2 linked regions of the Callithrix jacchus genome follow. The main gene of each other region encodes a partner of the protein of the gene in region 2 in a complex. Links are inferred from orthologs where the notes say so. Each region holds a gene or a part of one and is shown on either strand. Other genes may lie near its edges. The genes, in order: STBD1 and GABARAPL1.

Region 1 (4,585 bases), on a different chromosome or scaffold from region 2:
CTATTGCTGCATTCTTCCCAGCGAGTAACTCCCCCATTCTCTACCAACACAAACTTCCATTCCACCACTGTATCTGCAGGCAGGAAAATGGAATGAGACCAGAACCCATCCTTGCTATAGGAGAGTGGGATGTATGTGTTCCATCTCCCAAGACACTCATGGTCTCCAGTTATTGCAATGAATTGCACATCAGTGCTTGTGATATAATGGACCTGGAACCTGACACTAACTTGCTGAGACCCCGCAGGCATCACTGCTACCTTTTCTGTTTTCCCATGCAATTGCCAACCTCTTGCTTCCACCAGAGTGCTTCTTCCATTGTCCATTCCCTGTTTTGGGCTTAACACTGGAGCCTCAAGACTGCCAACATCCCCCCAAGACGAGTGCCTAGACACCATTTCCCACTCCTCGTGGTCAACCCGGTCCTGACTGTTCAAATGAGAGAGGCTCATTTCTTCTTTAGCTCTGTTCGTGAGCAGGTTGCTAGAAGGCAACTTCTCTGCAAAACATGTAGCTGCTTTAGCAGATGTCTCTCGTCCTTTTTGGAATCCCCATTCTCTCATAGGAGATTCAAGGCTTTCATTTCTTGAAACTTCAGAGTGACTCCTAGAGTTACCAGTCTCAGAAGTAGCTGGAGCATCTGTGTCTGGAAACTGTCCAGAAGGAACATGTTCTCTTGAATTGTCACAGACTTCCCTGGAAGGATTCTGCAATCTGCATGCTGCTGCCTGCAAGCTACCAAGGTCTTTGGTCTTAGAAATCAAATGTCCATTGCTTTCTTGAAGATGCTCTAAGAAATAAAAGGAAAAATGTAATAGAGTCAGGTAGTTCGTGTAAGAAAAAAGTTAGGTTGAGAAAATAATTTGGTTACTGAAAGGTTCACTACTAGTCAATCTGCAATTCACAAAGTCCTCCTCTATTAAAATCAAGTACAGCTTCATTAACCAACACTGTGCTCTAAGAATACACATGTATATCTGACAATAAAAGGCACATCCAGGAGAATCAGTGTGCCAGCACAAGTGTAAATGAAATGGTAAGCTCTAGAGGCAGACGTGTAACCCTGTCATGGCCCCTGGTGTCCACAGTCCAGGCCATACTGGCATGCAGCCAAGTTAAGTTGCTTGGCTCCTATCATCAAAGAATGTCCAGGCTGTGGGGCAAAAGGCTGCGTGGCCACCTTACAAACCGGAAGAGTACACTTATACTCTCAGGGGAGGCGTGCAGGGCAGGGATTGGCTCTCACAGATCTGTGGGCAGATCAGCAGGAGCTGTCACTGTGGGGAGATACGAAGGACAGTAGTGCATGCCTGGGATGCAGGAGTGGAGTGGGGGAAGGGGCTGGTTTCTCCTTGCCAATCCCATATTCATTCGGAACCTCCTCAGCAAAACAGTGTTTTGTACCCCCTCCCACTGTAAGCACTTTTTAAAAAAATGTTCTTAAAAATACAAAATCCAAGTCCTCTAAAAATGTGGTTTCCTTCTTGACCACCCCATTGGTAGTCCAAACAAGACTGAAATCTCCAAATCGTACATACAATTAGCACAGCTGTGGTTTTATGGGGTGGGGCGGGGGGGAGGGCATGGGGACAATAGTCTTGTTTATCTCGTTTTAATGGTGGAGTTGGAAGTGAGAGTGAACAAATATTACTATGGATTCCCAACTTTTCAACCTAAAGCATGAGATTGGCCTTCAGGAAAAACAAAAAGATAAGTGAACTGTCTAGGCATCCCCGACCAATCATACTAAGGGCACACGGGCAGATTTTCATATAGCTGCACATGAACACCACTGGGCTAAAAATAAAGTTCACAGATGTCATTTTCACCATTAAGCTTCTGTCCAGGCAAGGGCCGCTTGCCACGGGAGGGCACTGGAAGGTAAGGTTTTTCTGCCAGTGTTCGCTCTCTGCTTAGCAAACGGTCCCTAAAATACAGAAATTTAAACCTAGATACCGGTTCTACTCATCAGAGCTGGGACTCCTATTTAAGTAGTCCCTTCCCAGGGATGGCCACCTGGCCCTGTTCTGGGGCAGTGGGAGGGGGGTGGGGGGAACTGCCGACAGTGCTGAAACCGGTCACCAAGCACAGCCCCAGGGCCTCAGCCATGGCCTTCATGGCCAGAGTCCAACCTGAACTTTGCCTTCCTGAAGAAGCGTCCAGACAGCACGAGGCGCCCGCAGCTCGGGTGTTCCCAAATCCAGCTCTTCCATGGGTTGTGCGATGGGAGGATGTGAGACTACCCGGATCAGGACTGAGAAAATGTCCCGGCTTGGGCAGAGTTTGAAGAGGCTTGTAGGATCCCCCCCAAATCTAAGCCCTCTTTTCCAAAGGCCGGGAAGGGGCGCCGCCACGGCAGCCGCCCGCACTGCACCAAGCGCCGCCAAGTGGCGGAGCTTATCCCCGCCGGAGGGGCAGAACCAAGTCCGCAGGCGCGGGCGCTGAGAGACTCGGCAGGGCGCGGCCCTTGGAGGACCAACCAAAAAACCTGCCTGCGCTACCAACTAGCCTGGGAAACCGAGGGGCGTGGGGATGGCCCAGACCCCTTAGGGGAGCCCTCCGCAGGAATGGGCCCCTAGGAAAGCTCTAGGTAGATTTGCCTCTTTCCTTCCTTCCTCGATGAACCTCAAAGCTATGGCAGATGTGCCCTGGAGTCACAGGAGTGAAGAATACCTGATTTGGTGACCAGCTCCTGCCTGGAAGGTCCAGGGCTCAGTCCGCTGCTGCCACTCTGATCACCTCCCGGAGCCGCAGCTCCCCCAAGAGGGGCGTCCTTCTCCTGCTCAGCGTCCCCGTCCTTCCCAGTGTCCCCAGAGCCGCCCCGCAGCAGCCAAACGAAAAGCGCTCCGGCCAGACCCCCTCCGACCAGCAGAGCGGACCAGACGGCGCCCATGGCTGAGAGGCCGCGGCCGCGGGAGACGACGAGGACTGGGGCTGGGGCTCAGGTCACGCAAGCAGAGCCACACCTACCCCGCCCGCTCCAGCCTTTTACGGTTCCTGCGGCGGGCGCTCCGGCGGAGCCCGGCCCAGCGCGACCGGTACTCAACTTTCCCGGCCCCGCCCCGCTCCCCGCCCCCAGGCTGCAGACCCGGGCTCCCTCCGGGCGGAGACTGGAACGCTCTTCCATCTTCTGTTCTCCGCCCTGCCAGTTGCTAGCGGCCGGGGTCGCAGGGGGCGGCGTTCCACGTGTGTCCCGCGTGAAGAACCCAAGTGCGCACTGCGCGCAGCCAAGACCTGCCCCACCGCACTTCCTTCTCCCGCCCGCTGCCCTCAAGGCCTCGCCCCGGGCCGGGCACCTCGGCGCCTCCACCCCAGGAAAGCTTAGCAGCAGCGCGGCCAGCTAAAGGCCGAGAGCTTCCTGGAACTTAGAGGTGGGAGAGGCCGCGGACGTCGGTGACGCGCGGGCCTGGGCGCGGGCTGAAGAGGTGGCGCGTTCGGATGGGGTGGGTGGCCGGGAGGACCGGGGCAAGGTGAGGGGAAACTGGGAGCCCTAGTGGAAGCTCCACTCCGCCACCAGCTCGCCGCGCTTAGCCTCCCCAAGCCTCTGCCTTCCCGCCTGCAAAATGAAAGGACTGGACAGAGGACCGTCTATCTAAAGATGCCAGTCAGCCCAACCACATCCAGTCTCATCCTCCTTGGGCGTGTATGGATGGTGCGAAATGCGCGCCCGACTGTCTGACCTGGATGTTGTCCATGGACGAGTGCCTACAGATAAGTTTGTTAATAAAAACAGCAGCTCTTTATTAAGCACTGTCTGTATTCCATATGTTTTATGTATGTATTTAATCCTCACAAGACAACAACCCCGTGCGCTGTTATATACATTTCTTTGTAAATCCGTTCCTCTGCGGATCTGATGACTTTGCACAACAGCTTCAAGCTGATGATCCCCACGTCTATGTCTGCAGCTCACACCTCTTTTCTTGGACTCCGACATTCAACAGCCAGCCCGCCTTGGAATAATTATTAGATTGCTGTCTCTGATAGGACAAATTATCAAATGTGCCCCTTGCTCCGAAAGGACAGTAGCCCTTAACCCGGTGCAATGCTGTGCCAGTGAGGTTACTGGAGGGCCAAAGCTGCCTTGATGAAGGTCACAACTACAACTTTGGCAATCATAAGGGAGGGGGTAGAGGAGAAGTGAGGGCAAAGACTGCCAACTAGGCATCGCCTTGTGGGTGTCTAATAGACATCTCAAACCCGACTTATACAGACCTGGACTCCCCACCTTCCTCCCTAAACTTATTCCTCTCCCTACCTTCCCCATCTCAAGAAGTGGTGACCACATCCTTCCCATTGCTGCAAAGCAAAACACAGCCAGCTACTACTACCCACTGCTTTCAAACCAGCGGTCAGCCTGAGCCTGTTAAAACACCCCAGGTCTCTGCTCAACACCCTCCAGTTGCTCCATCACAAGGAAAAACCCTACAGGGTCTGTTCCCCATGACCACTGTGTGCTCACCTCCATCTTGTCACATCCAGCCACACTGGCTTCCTTGCCTGGAGTCATCCTTCCTACAGACCTCTCTCTCTCATCCCCTTCAGGTCTTGGTACCAGTGTCATCTGCACCGCCCCCTAGACCTT
Region 2 (4,466 bases):
TAGCATTGTGGCCCAAAGGAACTCTGAGACCCAGCAGTAAGAGATTAAAAACCACAAAGGAAGACAGAAAAAAAGTGATAAATCAGATTGCAATACCTGGATGGGAGGGAGGGGCTAGGAGAGGAAGAGAAAGGGAAGGGTAATCATTAAAACCTTGGTTTCACAGAACCAAGGTTAAGTTTCCAGGAATCCCAATTCTATTCCTCAGTATGGTAGACCCCTGGGCTAGATGCTTTGCCTCTTTGGGTCTGTTTTCCTCATTTGTAAAATGTGACTCATACTCAGTAGGGTTATGAATTTTTAAGAAGACAATCTGTTCCTAACAGTTTTTTTGTATGTTGTATCTATGAAGATAATTTCAAGATCCCATCAACCCTTGCTCTCCGAAGGCACAAGTACACCTATTCTTTCCAACGTGAGCTCTGAAGAAATATTGGTGGGGGTAAGCTCTGGTTATGAGAGCAGTCAGGATACGCCATTGCTTTAATAACAATGGTCAAGTGGGAATGGGCTTTAGGAGTCATTACTATAACCCTCTTTTCTGTAAACAAGGCACTCTAGCACCACAAGATTAAGAGTTCTGCCCAAGGATGCAATGAATTCCCAGAACCAGAACCAAATCAAGGAACCTGCGTCATAACTAGAAAGAAGGTCACAGACAAAGCACTTTGAGAACAGCTCACCACTGGTTAAAACATAACCCTAGGAAAGCTGAAATCCGAGTGACAGTCTTAATGGCTTAAAAATTATCACAGAAGCAAAACATTTAACACGAAAATATGAGCAGGAAAAGAAGAGAATTCACTGAAATATTCAGAGTGAATACACATAAATCACTAAAATATTTATCTAATACTTAACAATGTAAAGTCCACAGTACATCACTAATTCTGGTTAATACAGCTATATTAGAAATTGAGATATATGGCATGGAGGTTAAGGTCTCCGAGAGCTCCACAGTCCATCAGACGGGGTGGAATTCCGGCTCAACCACAGATCAGCAACGTGAAACCTTTAGGAAGTTACTGCATTTCTTTATGCTTTGAACACTCCATCTGTAGAACCGGGATTATAATCGTGTAAGGATTAAGTGAATGATTACAGACTGATACAATAATGCTAGGGTAAACTATCAATAAAACTTGGCTGTCATTTTTAAATATCATTACTCAAAAGTAAGACTGGCATCACCAAAACTGGGCGAAACTTTCACAGCAGGTATCCAAGGTCCAGAAACCAGGAAAGTAATTCGTAAAGGATCCTTTACTGGCTAAGGGTTTTGCACATTCCTTTATAAGCTGAAAACCCTTTTGTAATTCCTGGGGAATGGAAGAGCCCTAATGACTTTTTTTTTTTTTTTTTTTTTCCTTTAAGGAAAAGAGGTACAAGAGGTTTGTACTGCTGGGCTAAGGCGCTGGCGGCTTCTGGTAGCTATAAAACCATGAATGTTAGGTAAGGATTAAAGAAGAAACCCAGAGTGGCTGTGAATCAAGAAAAGACACCAGATAACAGCAATTGTTTTACCATTATGTGACTTGTAACACTAATGTCCCCACATGAAGATCACCGTAAAATCTCCGCTACTCCATTTCCAAAATCCAACAGTTGCTGGTCCCTCTACCACTTAAAAGTCATATTCTGGCCTTCAATTTGGCATCGCAGCCTACATTAGAGAAACACCAGGCAAGTGGGCTTGGGAGGAAAAGGTTCAGAAGCCATTCGGTGCTTTTCTTGCATTCTCTCAGAATTACGGGGGGGGGGGGGGGGGGGAGGACTGGGGAAAACGCCCGGATGCTGGAAGATACCTAATTATTTTTCTCCGTTCCTCCTCACTACCTGTGCTGGTTTTAACTACTTAAGCCGGTGTCCAAAACAGAGAAAAGGAGTCTCAGTCCTGCCTTATCGCGTCCAGGTACCATGTGATCAGAAATCGATACCGGGGAAGGATAGCTGTCTCCACACATGCCCCGGAGCCTAGAACGATGAGGCAAGCGGGCTGTTGCGCAGAGAACGTGACCTTGTTTTCCAGGCCAGGACTGTCCTGTGCTCCCCCACCCCCCTGTAATTCTGAGAGAATGCAAGAAAAGCACCGAATGGCTTCTGAACCTTTTCCTCCCAAGCCCAACGATATGAGAGAGAAAGTCAACTTCATTAAAGGGGAACCAACCAAGGCAGAAATCGACCGGGGCAAACCTCACGGCAGAGCACAATGTCCCTGCGTTCTTAAAGGCAGCCAATCCATGGCCCCGACCTCACCACTCTCGCACACAGGGGCCCTATTTTGTGCACCCCTCAACCCACACACGTCTCAATACTGCTGAGTCACTGCAGACGGCGGCTCGGCTCCAAAAACGCCGTCAGCTCTAAAGTGGGATTCAGGCTGCTGGCATACAGGTTTTAAAAGCTCCGCAGTCTGGACGTCCATTGGCTCTGGCACTGAAGAGCTTTCAGGATTAAGTAATTCATGGAACCCCCCCCCCACCTTCTCCAGAGCGGCCTGGGCGCCCCAGGGCAGCCAACGCTACTCCCCGCCCCCGCCCCCGCGGGCCCTCCTGTCCCATCCCCCCACTGCTCTACACTCACGGGGACCCTGTCCGGATATTTCTTCCGAATCTTTTCTCCTTCCTTTTTCCGATACTCGAAGGGATGGTCCTCCTTGTACTGGAACTTCATAATGCACCGCAGGGCTTGCTAGATCCCCGCGCGGGGCCTGCCTCCTTCGCAGCTGACAGTTGGCCGCGTCCTGCTCCCTCCGCCGACGTCAAGGTGTACTCAGAACAGCTGCAGAAACGTCCGCTCCTGGGGCAACAGCGCTGGGCCGAGTGCGCGGTGGGGGAAAAGGAGGGGGACCTCGGGTGCGCCTGCCTGGAGGTAAAGGAGAGCCAGGTGGAGAAATACCAGCGGCTTTTTCGAAGAGCTGGAAGCACAAAAACAGCCGGGCGGAGCGTCGGCCTGTGACGTCACCCCGCGCGCCACGCCACGCCCCCGCGCGCCAGGCGCCGAAGGCGGGAGGAGGCCGACAGCTCTGCCTCACTGCTTTTGCTTTCTGGCTAACCTTGTTTAAAATCGATGTCATTGCAAACATCAAAACATTCTAGTTGTGTTTTATTTTGTAACCGTGAAATTAAATACGGTTTTAAAACAAAAAAAATATTCTAAACATGTTTTCTTCCCCCTCCACTGTTTTTGTTGGTTGGGCCCCGGAACAAATACAAAAGGCAAAAATCCAGCCTGTCTCTGCTGGTTGGGATCCACCCTCGGGGGAACAGAGGGCCAGGCCTCCTGGGATCCCTTTGGCCAATGCAGAGCTGTCCCGTGCTTGCACCGTGCCCTCTGCGCGTTCCGCTGCCGCTCCTCCGGCGCTGACGTCACTGTTTGGATCCGCGCCGTGGTTCGCTCCTGGAACAGCAACATAAACAGAGCGTGACTCAGGAATCTGAAGAGATGTCAGGTGAAGGACACGGAGCGTAATCAATGTCCAGAGGAGACGTGATGTCAGTAAGGACTACCGAGGGCTTCACGTACAATCAAATATAGAAATGATTCACTTTCTGCCATTAATCCAGAAGGAGGGCGTGTCTTCTGGAAAAGAAAGTATCAAGCAATTTAGGTGATGATCTCAGTTCCCCCACATCTTATTTCTAGTGGTTGGGTATCCCTCACGTGACTAGAAAGCGCCGCCTGGAATGCTAGTGGCAGACTGAGCATTGGGGCAGGTGCGGTGAAGCCTCGTTCTGGCTTTAACCACCGAGAGTCAAACGACAGAGGCCTTCCAACCAGTACTGTAGGCAGCGAAGGGAGTGCTGTGGAGATTGTAAAAAAGAACAGTGAAAAGGGACTGCTTTGCCCACACAAGTCGGGTGAATTCTGAAAAATGTTAGACACAGAAGCCCCATGGCCTATCTTCTTCAATCCGGGTCGCAGTGTCTCTAATTTTAAAAAACACACCCACAGGGGGCCGGGCGTGGTGGCTCACACCTGTACTCTCAGCATTCTGGGAGGCCTATACGGAGGATCGCTTGAGCTGAGGAGTTCAAGACCAGCCTGGGTACCATGGCAGAACACTGTCTCTACAAAAAAAAATACAAAAATTAGCCAGGCATGGGCACCGCTGTAGTCCCCGCTACTGGGGAATCCCTTGAAGGCTGGAGAATCCCTTGAACCCGCGAGGCGGTCACTGCACTCCAGCCTGGGGAAAGAACGAGACTTTGTCTCAAAAACAATAAATAAATAAAAATGAAACACGTACTCTGAAAGTAAAAGAAACTAAGTTACATTACTGGCACAGGAAAATGTATCATATAGTCCCACTTCCCCACGGCATCTTTCAATCCTTATGTATTAAAATCCATAAGGGCAGGGCACGGTGGCTAAAGCCTGTAATCCCAGCACTTTGGGAGGCAAGGCAGGCGGATCACCTGAGGTCAGGAGTTCGAGACCAGCCTGGCTAACACCGCGAAACCCCT

The links.
Region 1: the proteins of GABARAPL1 (region 2) and STBD1 are in contact, whole or in part, in a crystal structure (PDB 8X8A), measured with the Homo sapiens proteins. The link is inferred for Callithrix jacchus from reciprocal best matches to the Homo sapiens genes GABARAPL1 and STBD1. Residues at the interface, in NP_113600.1 of Homo sapiens: Glu17, Ile21, Tyr25, Asp27, Arg28, Pro30, Val31, Ile32, Lys46, Lys48, Tyr49, Leu50, Val51, Pro52, Asp54, Leu55, Gly58, Gln59, Phe62, Leu63, Arg67, Phe104; in NP_003934.1 of Homo sapiens: Glu201, Glu202, Trp203, Glu204, Met205, Val206, Pro207, Arg208, His209, Ser210, Gly213.

The regions. Positions count from the first base shown.
Region 1 is NC_133504.1:121,770,576-121,775,160, forward strand, and holds the start of STBD1 (starch-binding domain-containing protein 1), read right to left. Parts: upstream 2,931-4,585; 5' UTR 2,894-2,930; coding exon 2,674-2,893; intron 791-2,673; coding exon 1-790. UniProt on the Homo sapiens protein: Acts as a cargo receptor for glycogen. Delivers its cargo to an autophagic pathway called glycophagy, resulting in the transport of glycogen to lysosomes.
Region 2 is NC_133510.1:12,779,833-12,784,298, forward strand, and holds the start of GABARAPL1 (gamma-aminobutyric acid receptor-associated protein-like 1), read right to left. Parts: upstream 2,934-4,466; 5' UTR 2,674-2,933; coding exon 2,584-2,673; exon of another isoform or gene 2,143-2,583; intron 1,707-2,142; exon of another isoform or gene 1,341-1,706; intron 1-1,340. UniProt on the Homo sapiens protein: Ubiquitin-like modifier that increases cell-surface expression of kappa-type opioid receptor through facilitating anterograde intracellular trafficking of the receptor. Involved in formation of autophagosomal vacuoles.